4 linked regions of the Canis lupus familiaris genome follow. The protein of the gene in region 2 purifies or fractionates together with the protein of the main gene of each other region. This does not show direct contact. Links are inferred from orthologs where the notes say so. Each region holds a gene or a part of one and is shown on either strand. Other genes may lie near its edges.

Region 1 (5,655 bases), on a different chromosome or scaffold from region 2:
AATTTAAAGGTCCCAGAGAATCATGAAGTGCCTTGTCGTTTTTGCTGCTGACTTCTGATGACCTCTAGTTGTTTCTTGCATTGCTGGTAGTAAGTGGAAAGGCTTTTGTTTTCATCTAAAAGCTTTTTATGTTCCTGTACCAGACGAGATGTATTTTGCTGGTCCTTTTCATCCTGGTCCAGTTCTGCAACTAGTTCTTGCCTAAAAACAAATACCACATAATAAAATATTGTACATCTTGTACATGATAAAAAATCCATACTTAGTAACTGATGAGCTTGGCTTGTTAGGGCTTTCTGTATTGACTGTTACACATTTTAGGTACACTACTCAAATATAATTGTAGGCTAGAATGGAAACTATTACCCACTCTTCTGGTGTACCCACACGAACACCACACCACGATCCTTTTGTAAGTAACTGCACTTAGATAATTAATGAACGCAGATAAAATGGCATAACAAAAGTTTCAAAACATTTTACTTGGTATCCCCTTTGTGTAAGAAGAAGAAAAAAGGCTGGGGAAGGGCTCTAGGCACAGGAAAATAACATGTTTTATCATTCACATTCCACTTTTACACTCGTGAACTTTTATTTATGTTTGAAGTTACATCTTATTTAACTACAGTACAAAGTGGGGGCTCATAAAACATTGGCAAGCTAATTAAAATAGATGCTATCAACTTAAATCTATTTCCTACTTTAAAAGTGAGAACAATACAAAGTACCAATTTCGAATGAGTTACTTTTACAAACATTTTCAGGAAGACCATTAGAGACTTTTACAGCCTGATAAACTTTTTAAAGACCCCTTTATTTGGGAGATGTTCAATTTTAACTCCTAAAGTGAAGTTATAAGTGATTAATTAATGATATAAATGAATAATTAATGAAGAGCCTCCAGATGATTTTCTTGTAGTATTTCTCAAAGTATTTAAATAAAATTGATTAAAATTGTCATAGTTTTCGCATTCCCTCAATCTATCATTTCTTTTTCCAGCACAGAACCAACTCCTCGTTCAAATGAATAAAAAAGGAAAAAAGTATAGACTAAATATGTAAAGTAAGAGGTTTTTTTTAAAAAACATAAAGTGTCAACAGTTCTACAATTAGCTCCACAATTTGCAGACTCAAATATTTATTTCCTATAGAGCCTTTAAGGTAGAGTTGCAATCATTTAACAATAAGTTGTGATAGAGCTATTTTTTCTTTTTTTTTTGAAGTACAAACGGAAACTTTCCACAAATTACTTCAGAAAGCAAGAAATTTTCACTTATTTAGATTAAAATCAATAGAGGGAATCCTATTACCATGCCATGATTTTTTCCTATAGCACTTCATTTCAGTTCCCTCTAAAATGAGGATCCATGCAGAAACTTAAGTTTTTGTTTTTTTTTTTTTAAGAATTTCAAATAAAGGAGCATGAAAATTGATTTTCTTAAAAAAGGGAGGAGAGGAAGGCAAACTCAATAACTCTCAGAAAAACATATGCGTGAGTATAAAACACCTTATAAAAACACTCATGGGTATAAAATAAAGTAATCCTACTCTCCTAAATATATACCTGGAAAGACTATATCAATAAAACATTTCTAAGATAAAGTACAGTTGAACATTAGTAAATCAAATTATTTTACCTATGTCTAAGGAAACAATAAATCATTGTAACTATAAATCTAACCAGCTTCTGGTTTCAAAATTCTTAGAACATGAAACACCAGTTTATTTTCCTTAGTTTTAATATAATACATACAGCCAATGGGTTGAGTTTTACATGAAAAACAGCCGAAAGTTCCTTCAAACTTAAAAGATGAACACATATAAAACCTCCAAATTGGAAATACAGTTGACCCTACAATGAGATGAGTCTCAACTAAATGGATCCACTTATACATGGATTTTTGTTCAGTACTGTAAATGTATTTTCTTTTCCTTATGACTTCCTTAATAAAAGTTTTTCTCTAGCTTACTTTAAGAATATAGTATATAATACATAAACATATAAAATAGGTGTTAATTGACTGCTGATGTCATTGGTAAGGATTCTAGTCAACAGTAGGCCATTAGCATTTTTGGGGAATCAAAAGTTACACATGGATTTTTGAATGAGTGGGGGTTCAGCACCCCAACACCCAAGCCGTTCAACAGGCATCTGCATGCTTAATGATTAGTTCTAAAAATTATCAAGCTTTCATGTCTTCCAACAATATTTCATCTTAACATATTTTAAACTCAAAATACTAACGTGTTTATTCACAAAAGATAACTTACTTTCTCTGTAATAACAAAGCAATTTCTGTTTGAACTTTCATATATTCTTGTGCCATTTTACAATGCTGTTCAAACACTGCCATAGATTCTTTGGAGTTTGGGCACGGTGCTAGAGGCTGAAAATAAATCAGGACTGTTAAAACATAATTAAATCAAATCTTAATATCAAGCTGAAAGTTAAGACAGTGACTGTGACATGTTTTTATAGCACTAAAGCAATGGTCTTTTAAAAGTAAGTGTTAGACCATGGCCTAGAAAATTTCAGTGTCCTTTTGTCAGAGTTAACTCAGAACTTAAATTCACACTTGCTGTCTTAACACTTTTGTTGTTACAGAGAATCATGACTATAGAGTATCACTCGCCTCTGGCTTTACATTTCAGGTTGTCAAACCATATTATACGATAAGTTTATGGCTTTCATACTCATGAGGAGACACTGAAGTGTATTACTTATGTTTTCAGTCACTATGAACATGAGACATTGACAGTGTATCATGAAATCTATTAAGTACAAATGAGCTTATGCAAATTTTATATTACAGTACTAAAATTAGAGATCAAAAATGCTATATTCTTGGCATTTTCTTTCTTTCCTTTTTTTTTAGAGAGCAAGAGAGAGAACCTCAAGAGGCTCCATACCCAGCGCAGAGTCTGATGTGGGACTTGATCTTACAACCTTCTGATCATGACCCAAGCCAAAATCAAGAGTTAGATGCTTAACTGACTGAGTCACCCAGGCATCTCCTATTTCTTGCCATTCTTTTTTTTTTTTTAAAGATTTTTTATTTATTCATGAGAGACACAGAGAAAGAGGCAGAGAAGCAGGCTTCATGCAGGGAGCCTGACATGGGACTCGATCCTGGGTCTCCAGGATCATGCCCCGGGCTGAAGGTGGCGCTAAACCACTGAGCTACCAGGGCTGCCCTATTTCTTGCCATTCTTAAACAAAGATATGGAAGTGTTTTAAGACAATTAAATATCTTAAGAACATATGATTTTGCCAACTTCAGATTTGATTAATTTAACTGAATGAATCATTTTAACTTGATTTTAGAAAGTTTAAGTAGGCCAACTAAAAGCATAAGTAAGTGAATATATGATGACAGATATAAACACAACTGTCAGCTTTCTAGATAACTTCTCTAAACTTTCTAAGGAAATAGTAAACAGTCACTGAGAAGGCAATTCTTTACCTGTAGTTGGTGATCCAGTGTAAGATAAGCCATTGGGATAGAGTTATCTGATCCATTGGTATCTGGAATTCAAGTATGTATTTTATTTATTTTATATCATAAATAATTATAAGGACAAAGCAAGAAAGCATGCATGAGATATTGGCATTTTTTTTTCATAAAATAAGTAATACATAAAAGTTATTACTACTGGTAATGAAGAAAGTCTATTCTGAATTCTAAAGGTAAAAGAGAACATCCAATTACCAGATAATCAAAATGCAACCATACTCTGATTCAATTTAAGTTGGCTATAAATTGTGTAACATTAAAGCTTATAAGCCCTTGTTCAATTAAAAACAAAAACATCTACCCCTGAGACTAAATACTACATTATATGTTAACCAACTTTAATTTAAACAAAATCTTAAAGGCAAATAAAAAAAAAACAGTGGTAATGGGACCTTTATACTTTATATTGTCTTCACTGACCCTACCTAATCAAACCTCATAGCTCTCTTTCCTTAATCATGCTGTGTACTATAAGGCTGTGTCAATTCCCTGAATACTAGTGTTCTTTTTTTTTTTTAAGACTTATTTATTTATTTATTCAGAGAGAGAGAGAGAGAGAGAGGGAGAGAGGCAGAGACATAGGCAGAGGGAGAAGCAGGCTCCATGCAGGAAGCCTGACGTGGGACTTGATTCCGGGTCTCCAGGATCACACCCCGGGCTGCAGGCGGTGCTAAACCGCTGAGCCACCGGGGCTGCCCTGAATACTCGTGTTCTTTAATGAAAAAAGGGGGAAAACAAGAGACACATTCTCTTCCAGTAGATTATCTTCTATTTATACAGATTCTAGCATGAACCCCCTCCCACTTCTCCTAATAAGAATCACTGTAGAAAATGGAAGATGTTTTTGATGGGAGTATGAACAGTATGGAAATTATAGCTCAATGTCATGCACAAAACAGCTGAATGGGTTAAATCCAACAACCAGTCGATTTTACCAAAGTATTTTGAACAGACAGCTTTTGTTTGTATTTCAAAAGAGGTAAACTGTCATAACAACTTGCATGAGTCACATGGGATTAACATTTATGCCTCCAGAAGCAGGCAGGATAACTGTGAAGTAATAGGATCTTTTTATTTCAGAAGTAGTTGCTTTCCCACTGTTAGGAGAGAGTAAATGAGTTAAACAAGTGAACTGTTCAGCCCTTTCCCTGAGAAGTAACTCCTTGAAAGAGTGGTGCAGATAAAGACAAGGTCGGGCTGACAGCAATGCACTGCATGCAATGCAATAAAAAAATAGGACAGTCTGATGGTTCAGTAACTTCAATAATTTATTATTGACTGATATTCTAGTTTTCTTTTTCAAAGCCATCGTGAATGTGCTTACAAGTGACTCCAAAAGCTAAGCTAAATCAAATGAAGTAAGATAATGCATGTAAGAAATACCATGCAATGCTAACCTATATGGTAAGCACTCAACATATGGTGGTTATTATTACTGTTATTGCTGTTGTTATTTATACTAAATGGAGAATTAGGAAGGAAGAGTAATTTTATATACTCAAGTTTGTATTTCAGTTTGAAAAAACATTCAGTAATGTTTACTAAATACTGGACAGCAATAAAGAAAGAGTAACAGTGTATTGCCTAGTAGTCTTATCTGACCAAAAATCATATACTAACTGAAATGGCTGAACAAGAAATACACTTAACTTGTTATTTCTCTGACCAACTCTTTCCCCACCCACATCAACAGTTTCAAACTATGTAATCTCCAACAAGATTACAACTGATTAAAGATTATTTGCCCCTGACTTTATAGGAAAAATTAGTCTCTTGAACTCTTTCAACGTTTCTATTCCTATTACTCTTTCTTAAATCTTTCATACTTGATATATCTTATTAAATAAATACTCTGTGTCTGATATGTATTTTAAAATTAAGTATACCAGTGTTTCACAGTACTCAGGGAATGGGGAAAAAAAAATTCAAGGATTGTGCTATTAACTATTAAAACACTCAGCTTTGTGCTGAAAATTTAGTAGTGTCTTAAATTTATTAAATAAAGTATGATGATTTTTTTTAAATTTTTAATGTGCCAGAATTATGACTCTAAGATTGCAAGCAGTGGGCCATGTATTATACTTCCATCTTTGCAAATAAGAAAAATTCCTCAGTGGGTTTTTCCCCCTCTGTGGCTCCC
Region 2 (6,307 bases):
ATAGGTGATGGGGATTAAGGAGTGCACTTGTTTGTGATGAGCAGTGGATGATGTATGGAATTACTGAATCACTATATTGTACACCTGAAAGTAATATAAAACACTATGTCAATTATACTGGAATTAAAATAAAAACTTAATAAATAAAAAATAATCAGAGATACATATAAAGATCTATTTAAGAGATTCATTTTTATGGCCTATTTTCCTTACGCGTTTTACAAATAAAATGAAACACTGATGAGGAAAAGCAGCATTTAGGAGAGTGAAATCACTCTATTACCATTTTGTCTGTTCTTTTAAATATCTTTTTGTTCCTCCTTAATTAACATTAGATGATATTTCAAAGGGGGATTTTTTTGTTGTTGTCAACTGACAAAAAAAATAAAAGGATGCTTTCAAATCTAAGAGCTAAAGCACTACTTACATTGGCCAAAAGAAAAAAAAAATTCAACAATAAAAGTTAAGTAAATTATGACACACTAATAAAATGAAATACTATAGTGACATTAAAATCATTTTAGACTAAGAAAGATGGGAAAATGACTAATATTTCACTGAATAAAAAAGAAATTATTAAAAAAATCACATGGTATTAACTTAATTTTTTAAACATAAATAGAACTAAGAGAGAGAGGAAAGCCTGGATGAAATATGCCAAAAATGTCATTAAAAGTGATTCTCACTGGTGGGATTACAAATCATTTTTAAAAAATTATTTCTCTTAATTTCCAAACTTCTTGTAATTAATTAATATGCAATTTTAAAATAAGCAATAATTCATTTAGGGGACAGATTTAATATCTCTTAAAGGAACTTTTTGGCAATAGTGTTCCTATTCCAAATTCCAAAAAATTAACAAGTTAAGAATGAGAAGAATTGTTAGAATTTCTTTTTCTTAATTCTTTTACAAAATGTAAAGCAAACGTGAAAATCTGAAATTGGAAAACACCTAAACATATAATTGGCATATATTAATAAATCAAGTTAAATGACCCAGATTATGACCTCTTTTACTTGGCATTTATTTTCAACAGTCATAAGCAGTCTTAATAGTCTCTTCACCTGGCTGGCTCAGTCAGTAGAGCATGGGACTCCTGACCTTGGGGTTGTAAATTCAAGCCTCATGTTGGGTGCAGAGATTACTCAAAACAAAAAAAAAATTAAAGGGACGCCTAGGTGGCTCAATGGTTGAGCATCTGCCTCCAGCTCAGGATGTAGCCCCGAAGTCCTGGGATCAAATTCCGCATTGGGCTCCCCACAGGGAGCCTGCTTCCCCCTCTGCCTGTGTCTCTGCCTCTGTGTCTGTGTGTGTGTGTCTCGTGAATAAATAAAATCTTTTAAAAAAATAAAAAATATTAAAAAATAAATAGTCCCTTAATAAATTAAATAAATAAAAAATAGTCTCATAGTCTTATAAGGCTCATCCTGAAGGGTTTAAACTAAGAAAGAAATGATGGCAGCTGGCAATTCCTTGAGCAAGAAATAGGATTCTAAGACCACACTGAGGGAAATCTGATGAAACAGAGTAGAACAGGACCAGCCTGTGTTTTCCAGAGACATTGTTCTATACTCCACTAAGCCCTCAAAACTATTTATGTCAGCCCAATATAGCAGTAAAACCCAGTGAAGAGTATCATTTGGGTAAGCTGGCAGGTCAGATTCCAAAAGGGCAATCGTCAGAGCTGATCATAGAGGGGAAACAGGTAGGTGTGGCTACAAAAGGAAGGAAAATGAAACCTAGAGGTCTAAGAAGGTTGGAGAAAGGCAGAGTGATCAGAGAACATGCGGTTGAACTAAGAAGGTGGCAAGAAGCATCAACCAGAGAAAAAAAGATGGTTTTATTTCAAGGAAACTGAATTTTTAAACTCAAGCCCTGACTCAAAAAGTTTGCTCCAACATAGGATTTTTAGGGCAGTGAAATTATTCTGTATGATACTATAATGGTAGATACTCGTCATTATACATTTGTCAAAACCCATATGACACCAAGAGTGAACCATGTTGTAAAGTATGAACTTTTGGTGATAATGATGGTGTCACCGTAGGCTCATTAATTGCAGCAAATGTATCACTCTGGTGCCAGGTGTTAATAATGGTCTCGATGTGGCAGAGGGAGGGAATGATCTGTGGGAACTCTGTACCTCCCAACTTTGTTCAACTTTGCTGTGAACCTCAAATTGCTCTAAATACAGTCCATTATTTTTTAAATGCTTTTTGGTTTCAAAGAACTAAACTAATTTGGCCCCCAACCTCCCTCAAATTTTTATCCTTAAAATAAGTAGGAGATGTGAATGATAGAAGCAGGTCTAAGTCCACCATCACTGTGGCCACAGAATCAATCAGTCTTCCAAGAAACATCAAAAAAATGTGATGCAGGAAAACTGAGTGGTCTGGGTCTCTACCTGGGCTGGGCTCTTCACCACAACTAGGCTCTCCAGTCAGGAAAACTGACTGTCTTTAAATGGCCTAAAAGGAACAAAATTAACATGCCTATGACATGATACAAACCATATCACAGTCTTCCAAATCCAAATCATCATGGCAACAACAAATTTAGGCCTTATCCTTAATCATGTGTTTTGCTTCTTGAGTAGTGGTGATGTGCTGTGTACACCGCTTAGAGCACACCAGATGAAATCCCAAATAAGACGGAATGAATCTTGAGACTACTCTCTCCAAAAGAATCAACTCATGTGGAAGGCATTAGGATTTATCTTCTTTGAGGCTGTGTACATGTTAAGTATTTCCCCTTTGCAAGCCCATCATTGTGTAAAAGTGCCAAAAGCACAACATTATTAATAGTGAAAAAAGGAAAAAAAAAAACTTTTTTTAAAGTTCTTTGATAGTGCTCCATAAATCAAGATGGAACTGCTCTCCTACTCCCTCCTACTTATTTTGTTCCTATGAACACATTAGATAGCCTAGGTATCTAGATCTAAACCTCCTCCCCACCTCACTCTGCCACCACATAACACTATAAAGAAATGTTTTTAAACATTTGTCTTATTTAAGGGGCACCCAGGTGGCTCAGTTGGTTAAGCCTCTGAGTCTTGATCTTGGCTCAGGTCAGGATTGCAGGGTCCTGAGATTGAGCCCCCCCCCCCCCTTGGGCTCTGCACTCAGGGTGGAGCCCGCTTAAGATTTTCTCTCTCTCTTCCAATGCCCCTTCCCCCCTCTAAAAATTTTAAATAAAATACTAAGAAAATAACTGCTTTGTTTTTCTGGAGTAATTTCAAAGTATAACTACCTCACTGCTATAAAATATGCAGTTAAAGCTACTGCTTTAATTTTCCAACACTCTGAAACCCATATTTTCAAGAGTTATGGAATGAAGTTTTATGTTTCAATAGATCTAAATTTAGTTCTCTTCCAGGAAAAAAAAGGCAAAGAGGTTGGAGGAAGATCAAGATTAAAATACTCTGATTTGCACATTTTGACAAAATCTTTCAAATTTCTCAATATATACACCCGCTGACTGAGCAATTCCACCTCTAGGAATTTTTCACAAATATATTTGTATATTCACATGAATGTGTACATAAAATGATATCCACTGCTGCATCATCTATACCAATAAAAACTGGAAACAACCTAATGTCTATGAATTGTTTAAATAAGTATCATGTACCAATTTTTCTAAATGAGGTTGATGTATCTATGTTTTGCTATGAAAAGAGGTCCATCGTATACTGTTGAGAGGGAAAAGGCAAATTACAGAACAATTTTAACGACTTGTCTGGATGAGAATTTAGCGCCCAACTTGCCTCAAGTTCCACGAGACAGCCAAACGTCCGCTGCGAAGTTCGATGCTAGGGAGCCTCGAAAAAGCCTTCTCTGCTCTTGCCTGCAGCGAGCTCGCCAAGACGCCGCTGGGAGCGCACGGCCGGACGGCGCCCTGCGTTCCCGGCGCAGCTCGAGCCCGCGCCCGCGCCCCCGCCCGCCCCGCCCCGCCCCGCCCCCTGCGGCCGCGCAGCTTTCGTTTCCCGCAGAACCGAAAGCGAAACTCAGCGAGAGGCGGGCTGCGCAGGCGGCCTCCGCGTGTGGGGCACGTCGCGCCCGGGACGCCCCGCCCTCCCCGGGGGCTCGGGGACCCGGCGACCGCCGTCCTGGGGGGCTGCTGAGGCGACCCCGGGAGCCACACGTGTGCCCTTGGGAAGATGTGCTGCTGTTGGTGGGACCGTGACCTGGGGCAGCCACTCTGGGAAGCTGAGGGTCCTCGAAGAGCTAGAGATAGACCTGCCCTGCGACCCAGCGGTTGCCCTGCTGGGGATTTACCCCAGAGATGCAGATGCAGTGAAACGCCGGGACACCTGCCCCCCGATGTTTCTAGCAGCAATGGCCACAACAGCCAGACTGTGGAAGGAGCCTCGGTGTCCATCGAAAGATGATGGATAAAGAGGATGTGGTCTATGTATACAATGGGATATTCCTCAGCCATTAGAAACGACCAATACCCACCATTTGCTTCGACGTGGATGGACCTGGAGGGTATTATGCTGAGTGAAGTAAGTCAGTCGGAGAAGGACAAACATTATATGGTCTCATTCATTTGGGGAATATAGATAATAGTGAAAGGGAATAGAGGGGAAGGGAGGAGAAATGTGTGGGAAATATCAGAAAGGGAGACAGAACATAAAGACCCCTAACTCTGGGAAATGAACTAGGGGTGGTGGAAGGGGAGGAGGGCGGGGGTGGGGGGACTGGGTGATGGGCGCTGAGGGGGGCACTTGACGGGATGAGCACTGGGTGTTATTCTGTATGCTGGCAAATTGAACACCAATAAAAAATAAATTTATAAAAATAAAAAAATAAAAAATAAATAAAGATCTGTGCTGTGCTTGCGGTCCTTGCGGTCCTTGCCCTTTGCCTGAAAGTCCAAGAATACAGGGGTCTTTTTTTTTTTTTTTTTGACACTTTAGGATCCTGGTAATTAGGATGCGCCTTACAGTCGTTTGTCACATTTTGTCTTTCATTATCACAAAATCGTGCATCGTGAACTCAATGGCTGTAGGTTCACTGAGATGTGGCGCCCAGGACGACGTCTTTGTGCTGTGTCCTGCTGCCACTCTGAGGAGCCAGCAGAGGACAGACATGGGACAGTGGGAAAAGGGGGAAAGAAGTCAACTATTTACTCCTCCTTAGAACTTAGGGTGGTGAGATCTAACAAGATGGTGCTCTTTGAACGCACTGGTTGACATTTCTCAAAACTAGGCAAGAAAGAGGGTTTTTTTTTTTTTCATTTTTTTTTATTGAAGTTTGATTTGCCAACGTATAATATAACACCCAGGGCTCATCCCATCAAGTGCTCTCCTCAGTGCCCATCACCCATTACCCCATCCCCCACCCACCTCACCTTCCACAACCCTTTGTTTGTTTCCCAGAGTTAGGAGTCTCTCGTGGTTTGTCTCCCTCTAATTTTTCCCACTTAGTTACTCTCCTTCCCTTATAATCTCTTTCACTATTTCTTATATTCCCCGTATGAGTGAAACCATATGATTGACCTTCTCCCACTGACTTACTTCACTCAGCATAATACCTTCCAGTTCTATCCATTTTGAAGCAAATGATGGGTATTCATCTCTTCTGATGGCTGAGTAATATTCCATTGTATACATAGACCACGTCTTTTTATCTATTCATCTGTGGAAGGACATGGAGGCTTCTTCCACAGTTTGGCTATTGTGGACATTGCTGCAATGAACTTTGGGGTGCAGGTGTCCCCGTGTTTCACCACATCTGTATCTTTGGGGTAAATACTGCAAGAAAGAGTTTAAATTGAACCTGAGTAATAATGGTTTCAAAATAAAGTTTGGGCCCTGAGAAGTATTTTCTGTAGCTTGCACAGTGTCACTGAAAATTGCTAATGGATTTCGTTCTCTTTTCCCTTTTTAATTTAAAGTGCAAGACAAAAAGCCACACCTAAGTGCTAAAATTGAAATTCTGCCTAAAAATTTGGTCAGAGAGGAAGAAGCTTGGCTGACTTTATGGGATTATCTAGTTATTCTCCTTAGAGAAAAGTTAATTGTCAAAAATGATGAACAATTTATAGAACCTGATGCTAATTTTTGTTCTAGGAAAAGGACGGACTTTTTGCATGGGATAGGGGCAAGTGGTGTTTTAAGAAAAAGGAAAAATGGGCAGCCCAGGTGGCTCAGCAGTTTAGCGCCGCCTTCAACCCAGGGTCTGATCCTGGAGATCCGGGATCCAGTCCCACTTCAGGCTCCCTGCATGGAGCTTGCTTCTCCCTCTGCCTGTGTCTCTGCCTCTCTCTCTCTCTCTCTCTCTCTCTCTCTCTGTGTGTGTC
Region 3 (5,655 bases), on a different chromosome or scaffold from region 2:
AGATCTGGCTCTGGCACTGCCTGTGATGCAGGGTCTGGGAGAGGCTCCAGCCTCAGCTCTGGTCCCAAGTCTGGTTCTGACACTCCCTGGGGTACCATGTCTAGCGTAGGCTCCAGCATGGGCTCCAGTGGTGGCCCCAGATCCAGCCCAGCCGCTAGCAGTGGCTCTAACTCCAGGCATGGCTCTTGCTGTAGCAATGGGTCTAGTCCTGTCTCCAGCTCCAAGGACTCTGCTTCTGGCTCCGGCTTAAGCTCCAGCGGTTGTTGCAGCTCATCCACCTGTCTGGATGCGGTAATACACACAAAAGGGCAGGGCTTAGTTGTTTAGGTGAACTGGAGAATGGCGGAGCAAGCGGAGACTATCTCTCTCGGCTGAGAAGGCAAGAGAGCAAGGGCACCTGGGTGACTCCGTTGGTTAAGCATCTGACTCTTGATTTCTGCTCAGGTCATGATCTCAGGGTGGTGAGATTGAGCCCTGCGTCGGGCTCCATGCTCAGAGCAGAGTCCGCTTGAGATTCTCTCTGCTTGTCCCTCTATTCCTACCCCGGCCCTACTCGTGCATTCTCTCTCTCTCTCTCTCTCTCTCTTTTTAAATAAATTAAAAAAAAAAATTTTTTTTTAAAGGTGGCAACAGGGCAATACAGCAGAGGGTTTAAGAGCACAGGCTTTGGAGTTAGGCTTGCCAGAGTTTGAATCCTATCATTTATTAGATAGGTGATCTTCAGCTTTCTGTGCCTCAGATTTATCATCGATAAAATGGAACCATCACCACCTAATAACGCTTCAGAGAGTAGGATGGTTAAAAGCAGGACTTTGGAATCTGACAGACCTGGATCATTTACTAGCCATGTACCTTAGGCATGCCATTTCACCACACTAAACCTCAGGCTCTTCGGCTGAAATACCCATGTCTGCCTCACAGGACTATTATGGAGATTCAATAAATAAGAAACTAAATGCAAAATATTTAGTCCAGTACCTGCCACATAATAAACTTTCTTAAATATGGCTGTTATCACCTAATTGGATGGGTTCTCAGAAGAATTCAATAAAATAAAAAGAAATCTGTTTCTAAAAAAAAAAAAAAATCTAGTACTATGCTTCAAGTAGATGCCCATTAACGTCAGTGATTATGACTCTGATTAGCAGGGAAGCCCTGTGGAAACAACCTAAGGATAGCAGCAGAGCACTAGGGAACAAAGAGGCTAGCAGAACGAGGGAAAAAACCTAGAGGTTGGAGACTATGGGCCCGTAGGAAAGAAGGCCAGAGAGGCAAACTGAGCGGGTTTGGGTCGCCACATCAGCCAGCAAAGGCCAGGGAGGATGGGCAAGAAATGCATCTCTCACCTGTTAGAGACCACAATGAGCCTATGTTTCAGGTATTTCCTCCGTTCTTCGAGATTAACTGTGGGGGACATATGCAGGAGGACAGGGAGGTCAGTGGACTGGACACCTGGCCCAAGGACCCCTCGTGTAAACGGTCTTGATAATTGTATTTCCCTACTAACTAGCCATGTCCCAGGGACAAATCCTTTCGTTTCTCTGGCTACCAATTTTTCCATGTCTGGAAGAAAGGAGCTGGATCTGTAGATGCCTGAGTCCCTGCAATCTTCAGTGACATACATCAACGATCCTTACCTTTCTCCTGGTAGTAGCACCCAAAAGCCTCATCCCGGGGGATTCGGGGGTAGAGGAAGCACAGTGGGTTCTCAGGTATGTTCTCTTCGGTAAGCAGCTGGTAGTGGCGAATGATTTTGGTCAGTGGGAGAGACTGAAGCACTTCCTTGGTGAAGGGTTGCAGAGAGTTGATGAGCACCTTATCTGCAGAATGGATGTGGGAAGAGGCAGGCCTGAAACAGTCGGGTCTAGGAGTCCCCCACCCTGGCCATCTAAGCCCCAACCTGCTGAGGGATTCAAGACAGAACCAGGGAAGCCAAGGGCTGGCAGAGGGACATAAAGGACAGGCTGTGGGAACATCGGGGCGAAGCAGCTGACCATCATCCTGATGTTCCACCCAGGAGCAGGTGATGCCCCCTTCTGATGTTTCACTGAAGCGCAGGAGAAAGGTGCCAGAGATGGTCTTCTTCAGCAGCCTGCGTTCCTTGCTCCGGCTCACAAAGCCCATGATGCGTCTGAAACAGAAAGCTGCTGTGAGGCCCTCATGCCTCCCTGCTGTCCTGCTGTCCTGCTCTCCTTGTACAGGGAGACAGCGCCAGGGTTTGGCCCTTGCTCTTGGCCAAGTCACTTCCTCTTACTGACGGTATCCACCTTCTAGGGCTGGAAGAGGTTTGAGGATTCAGTGTGGTCACAGATGAAAAAGCACCTTGGAAAGGCAAATGAGCAGGTAGTGTGATGGGAAGAGCACAGGCCTGCAGTCAGATGAGGCCTGGGTTTGAGTCCCAAGCAGGCCCATTGAGTGAATTCTTTTTTTTTTTTTTTCATTGAGTGAATTCTTTTTTTTTTTTTTTTGAGTGAATTCTTTAACTTCTCTTTGACTCCACACGGTTGTAAGGATTACACGAGAGAGTTCATAAGGAGCATCCAGCAGGTTCTGGAGCACAACAGATGCTAGGACTATTATCATGAGCGAAAACGTCAGGCGCGTGACCTTGCACCAGCATTTGCTTGCTCTCTCCCTTTCTGCCACATGAGGGCGCACAGAGTCCACTCGAGCCCAGAAAGGCAGAAAGCTAGGGGTGGGGCGAGGGAGACTGACCAAGGCCTTACCCATCATTCCAGAGATCCTTCAAGTGGTCATGTACCAGCTCCAGAATTTTGTCTAACCACGTCCAGAATGGTAGCTTGCCAGGAGGGCTCTCTCGCTGCAGGAGGAATGAAAAGGCAGGAAGAGACATGATTAGTCGCCCCCAGTGAGCAGATGGCAGTAAGGAGGGCAAGGACTAGTGTTTGCACAGGGGCTAGACGTAGTCACACAGGATGCAGGGAGTTACCTTAGTGAAGTCGGCCCACGATAACAATGCGCCCTCAGTCCTAGAGTTCTGACCTGTGGACAGACAGACAGTTCAGGTAATCGATGCAGGCAAGGCCAGGGTCCTTGGAATAGAAAGGGTGGAGGGCTGGGGAGACTACGGCTGGGGAAAGGCTGGGAGAAAAGGAGGTTTGTACCAAAGAGCTTGTTCCTCAGCATGCTCAGCTGGTCTGGGTCAAGGCCTCGGCCAACATAGGAGGAGAACTGCCAGCTGAGAGCAGGGCCCAGCAAGCTCCAGGGTGCCATGGGAGGGCTGGAGAAGAACTGCTGATTCTGCAAGAGTGGGAAGAGGGCAGGATGGCTCAGAAGGAGCACCCTCAGGCCAAGCGTCCACACCCTTCCTTGCCACCCAGCACCATTAGCACCATCTCCTACCTGGGGGTTTGAGCTAAGCAGATTGAACCAAAGAACCGAGGCCCAGGCAATGGAAACTTGGTTCATATTGGAAATAATCACCACAGGGAGGGTGTCTGTCTGAAGAGAAAACAAGAGTCAGAGAGAGGGATGGGATGTTTCTAGCTTTGACAGAGGCAAAGGAGAACTTCCCACTGGAGAGGCTTCCTTTAACGCCTCCTGAATGCCTTCCGCCAGATCTGCTTCATCTCTCCCTGCCCTCCATTTCCACTCACCTTCAGCTCCTCCTTCAGACCCTGGTAGGTGTATTTGACTGTAATGCTGATAATGTGCAGTTCCTCCGTCACACCCAGCATGCCCTAGGACAGCCGAAGACACAGCGGTCAGCGGGCCCTGTGGCAAGCTCCTCCCATCCCCCCGCTGCTCTGGCCAGGCCTCACCTTATTGCAGCCCTTTCCTGGGCCACCTGAACGTTGTTCTACCAGAGTCTGTGAGTTGACAGGAAATAAAATAAATGCCAGAGTGAGGACTCCAGGGTCCCTGGAACCCCTATTTCGCCTCAAGACTTCCCAAGGCCTGGGAACTTCCCTCAGCCCGTTGCACCGGACCAGAACCTTAGGCTGCTAGCCCTTCTTACCAGGTAACCGAAGTCCCAAATTAAGCCCTGACTCTGCCCCTTCTCGGGGGTCAGGGTTTTCTGGTTTGAGGTTAGAATGTTGAACTTCCGGAAGCTATTCCAGGAGGAAGAAGATATATGGAGAAGAGGAGAAGAGTTATTCTAAATACTCAGCAGGAAAACAACAAAAATCCTACTTCATTCCAGACCTCCCCTCCTCCCTTTGTCCAACCCCCAACCAAGTCAACCTCCTTCTTGTCTGAGCCCCAATGTGGTTATTATGCAGGTTGTGCAGTGCACCCAAGTCGGCAGCATCCTTATCAGACACCTACCCTTGTGATTGAGGATTCCTGAAAAAAAAAAAAAAAAAAAAAAATTCACTGAGAACCAAAACAGTGCAGAAGTTAGGAGTTTAGTCTTTAGAATCAGACAGACCTGGATTCAAACCCAAATCTGTGCTCACGAGTCTTATGGCCTTGCACAAGAGACACAATCTCTCTGGGCTTGTCTCTCCATCTGAACTGTGCACTGCTAATACCTAACTCACAGGGTTCCTGGGACAAATGAGGACTGGACAAGCCGCATGTCACATAGTGCTCAACAAGAGCGAGGAGGCGGGGTAGGAACACAGCCCCAGGGCCCTCGGGTGAAGAGTGGGTCTCCTCTGCCCCAGCAGCCCATGTCCCTGCCACCCTGTGGCCCCACGTGCCCCAACTTACTTGTCAATGGAAACTTCTGCAGTCAGTGACTCGTTGCCTTCCTGGAGTCTCACCAGGAGCCTAAGTGGAAGAGGGGAAAGTGGTCACCTTCAATCTCCTGGAGAGATCAAATGTTGGGAAAAGATAAGGTAAGAGATTAGAAGAGGTAGATGGGAAAAAGAAAAAGAAAGAGACGAGGTAGGTGGATTAAAGAGAAAAGGGAGAAGACAAGAGTGGAAAGATCTAAAGCCAGAAAGCAAACAGTAGTATGAGGGCTGGAAAAAGGAAGCAGGAATGAGTCCTGAAATGCCAACCTTGTTCGGATAGTGAACTTGCTCCCAGTCTTGAGGATGAGGGGTCGGTGGGGAGTTTGGGGCATGCAGGGCTGGGTTTCTACCACGAAGGCTCTGGGGAGAGAGGTGGCCGAGAGAATACAGAGTTCAGTCTCTGCAGGAATAGCTCCTCTTGCTCTTTCCTTCTGCCCTCCCTGGAGGTCCCTCCCCGGCCTCTAGACCTGTGGAGCAGGCGCTGTAGCAACTCCAGGACCTGGGCCTTCCGCAGGTTGACCCCTGCGGTCAGAGGGTCATCCTGATAGCTAACCAGGTGACTTAATCCCTTCAGCTCCTCCAACAGCTGGCGCAGGTGGAACAACAGCTTGGCTCCAGCTGTGAACCTAGGTGATAGGATTCCAGAGACAGAGAGCAAACTGATGAGTTTCCTGGTCTTCCCCAGACAGGCTCCAGAAGCTTCCCTTTTACTATGTGGAGAGGCAGAAAGTGATTGGGATAAAAAAAGAACCCAGGAAGCTTAGGAAAGATTATGCAACATGATTCATAATCCAAGAAATAAAAATCAAAGGCACTTCCACATATAAAACTGGTAAAAGGGACGCCTGGGTAGCTCAGTGGTTAAGCATCAGCCTTTAGCCCAGGGCGTGATCCCAGAGTCCAAGGTCGAGTCCTGCATCGGGCTCCTTGCATGGAGCCTGCTTCTTCATCT
Region 4 (5,231 bases), on a different chromosome or scaffold from region 2:
CTGCTTCTCCATCTATGTCTCTGCTTCACTGTGTGTCTCTCATGAATAAATCTTTAAAAAATAAAATAAATGAAATCTTGCCATTGGTGACAACCTGGACAGACCTAAAGGGTATTACACCAAGTGAAAGTCAGATAGGGAAAGACAAATTCCATAGGATTTCACTTATATGTGTAATCTAAAAAAAGAAAAAAAAAAAAAAACAGAAGCAAACTTACAAATAATAGAGAACAAACTGGTGGTTGCTCCAGGGGCAGAGGGATAGGGGGGTGGATGAAATAGGTGAAGGGGATTAAGAGGTATAAACTTCAAGTCATAAAATAAATCATAGAGATGAAAAGTACAGTTATAAGGAATATAGTCAATAATATTGTAATGTTGTATGGTGAGAGGTGGTGACTACACTTACCACAGTGAGCACTTGTGGAATCACTCCACTGTACACTCGAAACTTATGTCAACTGCACTTCAATTTAAGAAAGGACTTTAAGGGATCCCTGGGTGGCGCAGCAGTTTAGCGCCTGCCTTTGGCCCAGGGCGCGATCCTGGAGACCCGGGATCGAATCCCACATCGGGCTCCCGGTGCATGGAGCCTGCTTCTCCCTCTGCCTATGTCTCTGCCTCTCTCTCTCTCTCTGTGTGTGACTATCATAAATAAATAAAAATTTAAAAAAAAGTACTTTAAAAAAAAAGAGGTAATTGAGGATTTAAATCACTAAAAAATTCATTCAGTTTTGCCAATGTACCAATAATATGTGCATCATTATACTTAGGGATAGTACCTACCAAGACAATGCGTAAAAAAGATCCCAGGGATAATATGACATATAAATGATATAATGAAAAAAATTAAATTGGTGGGCGGGAAGGGATAACAGTAATATACAGATGAACTGCTGAGCTACAAGGAGAAATGGTTTCTTTCCAATGCAGTATATTCTCGACTTTAACATTAAAAATAAGCATGAGGGGATCAGGGCATAAGTCAACAAGAAGGCTTATTAAGTTTTCTACGTTAAGGAAAACATGAGTATTTGTTTTTAAGTGTCATGGACCTGAAGATACATTTTTAAGAAAATTACTGACAAAATAAAGAGGAACTAAAGAGAAAATTAGGAAAGAATATTTTAATTTGAATATTTTATAGGAATACTCAGTAAGGCATGGGTCGGAACTAATTCTATTCCTCTTTTTAAAAAAGATTTATTTATTAGAGAGAGAGAAAATGCAGCAGGGAAGGGCAGAGAGGAGGGAGAAAGAGTCACAAGCAGACTCCACACTGAACATGGAGCCCATCCTAGGACTTGATCTCACTACCATGGCAATATTACCTTCAGTCTAGGGCTTTTTGCTGCTGAACCTATGGAAATAGGGGACAGATTAATGAGAGTAAGATATATAGTATGAGCTGGTCCCGTCTATATTTAAAAAGTCCTACTAGCTGCCTTTTATTAGTACTTTAGTATATTAATCACTTGAATTTCAAATGTTTTATAAATGTTACTATTTTAGAAGCACTTTAAAGAATAAACCTGTACTTAGTACCTTCTCAGAAAGCATTCACACTATCATTTTAATTTGACAAAAAGCATATGATGTGGATGGAACAAAGGGGACCATTGTTGGGGTCCTTTTGTAGCCATAACCAGAGGGCTGGGACCAAAGACACCCCAGACGAAATGCTAATTTTAACCACAGTACTTAGGGAAAAAAAAAAAAAAAGAGAGAGAGAGAGGGAAAGAACAAAAGAATACAACTCAGCGGAAGTACTCATTTTTATAAAAATTGTTTTATTTTAAAACAGGTGTATAAAAGTAGAAATCACATACAAAAATACAGATCACTCTGACATGTTAGCAAAATAGCTTATGGCTGGACTTGAGTTTGGAAGTACTGTACATTTGAGGGCATCTGGAAATCACAGCCCAATTGGGTACTATCATCAGCCCTTGTCACTAATCTGTAAACAATAATTTCATGTAGTATATGTAGCACTTTTTAATCAGTACAAAATCAAAACATAATTATTTCCTGCATAAGACCACTTTAAAATGTTCCTCCTTAGGTCTGGGCAGATAAGGGCACTTCAAATCGTTGTTTCTGACATTTGAAGAATCTGATTTAAAAACAATTAATAGAAATAACAGGTTTTAGCTTTTTTGTTCATTTTGAACATATGGGAAGATCAATTTAAATTAAAAAATTAGTGTTTTGTTTTAAAGTAGAATTTAATCCTTTTTCTTCTAGACATTATTAAAAAAAAAAAATAAAAGCACTGTTGTTATCAAAAGATTCCACACCTGAGTCTTAACCTTGATGTCATTTCAAGTTGTCTCACTGCTTAGAAACTGCATGGAACTCACACCTACTTCTAATGTGTATTTCTGAGTGAATGAACATGTAGTTCTTCTTGGGCAACTCCATGTCCGGTAACTTTAGAAAATAATGACTTTCAATTATTGTGGGGGACATTTTTTTTAAAAAGGCAATTGAAAATACTTGATTCCAGAGTAATATAAAAATAACTTCAAGAACTTGGACAATAAAGGAAAAATGGCAGGGAACTTCAGTTTGGCATTCCATCCAACATTTCAAGAATAAAGACTGACCAGCTACTAGCATCTGTCTGAAACAAAGCGAGCCATTTTAAAAGCGAAAGAACCCATGTTAACGTCATTTGATCACAAAGTTAGAAGACCACAATTATATTTCCTCAGCTAATTCGGAATTCTGCGAGCACATGACATTATGGAAACTTCACTGATGTGCATGAGAAGATACTTCAGATTGACCTGTCATAGAAAACTGCCTCTTGAGCTTTCAAATTCTCTACCAATTCTTCACCTCTGATTGGTCAGTCATTTGTCATTTAGTGTGAATTGCCCAGAGCTATTTGTTTCCATGAACCTAATTTCATATCTACAGGCAAAGCTGAAATGCGTATTTTTCTATCTCCAGAAGAGGTTGCCACAAATGCTACTATCCTATGATTCTCCTTTTGTTCCGTTCACAACACAAACACTTCTAGCAGTCTATGTCTCATAAAGCAATACTGAAAAATTAAATAGAAGTCACCATATAGATTGTGAGAACGATTTGCTGGTGGTGATTCTTACGCTTGATTCTAAATAGATTTAATAAGAAGGGCACTTGAAAGAGGTGGCTCAAATCTTGCTGCTTAAGGCATCCTGAAATTACAGGCTCTCCTAAAATTCCCAAAGGCCTTAAACTTAGGCTCCTAAGTGTACAAAAGCAGTGACCGAAGCTTTTCTGGTTATTTAGAAAAAGCAAAACTTCATAGTCTTCTCTCTCAAACGGCTGTCTAACATACTTGCAGAATGAAGGCAAAGGGAAAACCAAGAATAAAAACAGCTGAGTGCTCCAGCAAGCAGGCTTCCTGCCTATTTTCCCTGTTCCAAAGAAAAGAGGAGACACCATCTTGTGATAAATACTTCATAGACAACTGGGCTTTTGCAGTGTCAGCCGGCATCGGATGCCCCATATCTCCTGGTTCTTTTTGTTGCCGGTGGTCGGCCTGGCGATGGTGGTGAAATGGGAACCATTAATCTGCAGATGAGGAAGGGCTTCTTTTAACAGTTGAAGGGTACCATCTGGCACGATTCCAAAAACTTGTAGTGTTTTTAGTGTGGGGATTTCTCCAAGTTCACTGGAAAGGAAGAGAGACTTCTCAGAATAGCAGTATCTATGGTAACTGATCCACCAGAGTTACATGACCCAATTTTTACCATTTGTTTTATATTCTACAAAATGCAAACTGAAAACATAATTTGCAATCAATGATTTGAGAAAATAGAATAGATGAATCAAACCAGAAAGCACAGACCTTTCTGTGCTCGGACAACATGGCCCCAGGACCCACGCAGGCGCATTTTGTTAAATGTTTTCTCACAATCTAAAAATGCTGAGATTTCTTTAAAATCCAACCATAGTTGCTTCCTTTTTCTATTCTCTCTCTTTTTTTTTTTTTTTTTTAATATTTATTTATTCACGAGAGACATAGGGAGAGGGAGAGGCAGAGACACAGACAGAGGGAGAAACAGGCTCCATGCAGGGAGCCCGACGTGGGACTCAATCCCGGGACTCCAGGATCCGCCCTGGGCCAAAGACGGCGCTAAACCGCTGAGCCACCCGGGCTGCCCATCCTTTTTCTATTCTTGATCTAAAACTGAAAGGAGTTCAAGTGTCATGAGAAGCTGGGAGCCAGTGATGGCAAAGAATCACCACAGGTTACATGTAATTCCAAAATATGGACTTGACCTTTATTTGAACCAGGCTCTTTCAAAAGAGGAGCAAGAGAAGTTAAAGTAACTTCTTAGTAGGTCCATTACCTGTGATAACATCTAACAGCGACTTTGCTATGGTATTTAGGACAGGGCTGCGTAGGTGGGTGCAGATGGGAGTAGTTGGGCACAGATGGAGAAAAGGATTGATTAGTCACACCTTTTCTACGAGAGGCAAAAGCCATCTGACTTCTTTACATATTTTTTATTTTTTTGGTCACATATATGCCAATCCTCTTCTTAGCTATTTCCCATTAAGTGAAATACAACTCTGTCAACAGAGAAATTCTGGTCCACAAAAAAGAGAGCCTGTTTCCCCAAAGCAAATACTTTTAGGTAATGATTCTTTCTTCTTAGCTCAGATCTATGTGCTTAGGAATTCATCTCTCTGATCTGTATTTGCTCCAGGTTGGGACACACAGTACAAAGTCTTAGGAAAGGGAATATTTAGTTTGGAATATCAACAAAATCCCACTACAGATCAATGAACACATCAATGACCTAGAGTTAGAAGCATCCTTTATATTTTCATATTGCCGATTAATTACTAAAAAAACCAAACTTTCCTCATAGTAACTGTAACCTGGCCTCCAATCTTTTCTTCCTTCCAGCCTATTCTATGTACCTATGTTCAAGGCATCTTCCTAAAGCCTAGGAAGATTATGTCACCCCCCACCCCCTCCACCCACCCAAGCCTTTGATGCTGTCCTCTTGTTTACGGAACTCAAACCGTTCAGCTGGCCTTAGGACTTTCCATGTTTTCAGTCTGCTCTCCCAGTCACCCCATTACCCTCTAAATGGATTTATTCTACATTCAACAAGTGTATTAAACACCACAGAGGCTAATAAATGTTAGCTGAATAAAGATGGAGGGTAATTTAGAAAATAAAAGTACTACCTAAGTAAAACAAATATGCTTGGTGTTCATAA

Evidence for each region.
Region 1: the proteins of USP18 (region 2) and MAP3K7 purify together in Homo sapiens (affinity purification with western blotting; 4 studies listed by BioGRID, with this or other methods). This does not show direct contact. The link is inferred for Canis lupus familiaris from reciprocal best matches to the Homo sapiens genes USP18 and MAP3K7.
Region 3: the proteins of USP18 (region 2) and STAT2 purify together in Homo sapiens (affinity purification with western blotting; 6 studies listed by BioGRID and IntAct, with this or other methods). This does not show direct contact. The link is inferred for Canis lupus familiaris from reciprocal best matches to the Homo sapiens genes USP18 and STAT2.
Region 4: the proteins of USP18 (region 2) and SKP2 purify together in Homo sapiens (affinity purification with western blotting; 4 studies listed by BioGRID and IntAct, with this or other methods). This does not show direct contact. The link is inferred for Canis lupus familiaris from reciprocal best matches to the Homo sapiens genes USP18 and SKP2.

The regions. Positions count from the first base shown.
Region 1 is NC_049233.1:49,889,315-49,894,969, forward strand, and holds part of MAP3K7 (mitogen-activated protein kinase kinase kinase 7), read right to left. Parts: intron 3,527-5,655; coding exon 3,465-3,526; intron 2,388-3,464; coding exon 2,272-2,387; intron 202-2,271; coding exon 21-201; 3' UTR 1-20. UniProt on the Homo sapiens protein: Serine/threonine kinase which acts as an essential component of the MAP kinase signal transduction pathway. Plays an important role in the cascades of cellular responses evoked by changes in the environment.
Region 2 is NC_049248.1:295,629-301,935, forward strand, and holds the start of USP18 (ubl carboxyl-terminal hydrolase 18), read right to left. Parts: upstream 3,933-6,307; 5' UTR 3,768-3,932; intron 1-3,767. UniProt on the Homo sapiens protein: Interferon-induced ISG15-specific protease that plays a crucial role for maintaining a proper balance of ISG15-conjugated proteins in cells. Regulates protein ISGylation by efficiently cleaving ISG15 conjugates linked via isopeptide bonds.
Region 3 is NC_049231.1:996,136-1,001,790, forward strand, and holds part of STAT2 (signal transducer and activator of transcription 2), read right to left. Parts: intron 5,330-5,655; coding exon 5,171-5,329; intron 5,064-5,170; coding exon 4,971-5,063; intron 4,738-4,970; coding exon 4,678-4,737; intron 4,309-4,677; coding exon 4,291-4,308; intron 4,074-4,290; coding exon 3,980-4,073; intron 3,831-3,979; coding exon 3,783-3,830; intron 3,702-3,782; coding exon 3,618-3,701; intron 3,463-3,617; coding exon 3,364-3,462; intron 3,262-3,363; coding exon 3,126-3,261; intron 3,004-3,125; coding exon 2,951-3,003; intron 2,822-2,950; coding exon 2,727-2,821; intron 2,132-2,726; coding exon 1,995-2,131; intron 1,821-1,994; coding exon 1,638-1,820; intron 1,405-1,637; coding exon 1,347-1,404; intron 283-1,346; coding exon 1-282. UniProt on the Homo sapiens protein: Signal transducer and activator of transcription that mediates signaling by type I interferons (IFN-alpha and IFN-beta).
Region 4 is NC_049225.1:73,261,304-73,266,534, forward strand, and holds the end of SKP2 (S-phase kinase-associated protein 2), read right to left. Parts: intron 3,668-5,231; coding exon 3,454-3,667; 3' UTR 1,771-3,453; downstream 1-1,770. UniProt on the Homo sapiens protein: Substrate recognition component of a SCF (SKP1-CUL1-F-box protein) E3 ubiquitin-protein ligase complex which mediates the ubiquitination and subsequent proteasomal degradation of target proteins involved in cell cycle progression, signal transduction and transcription.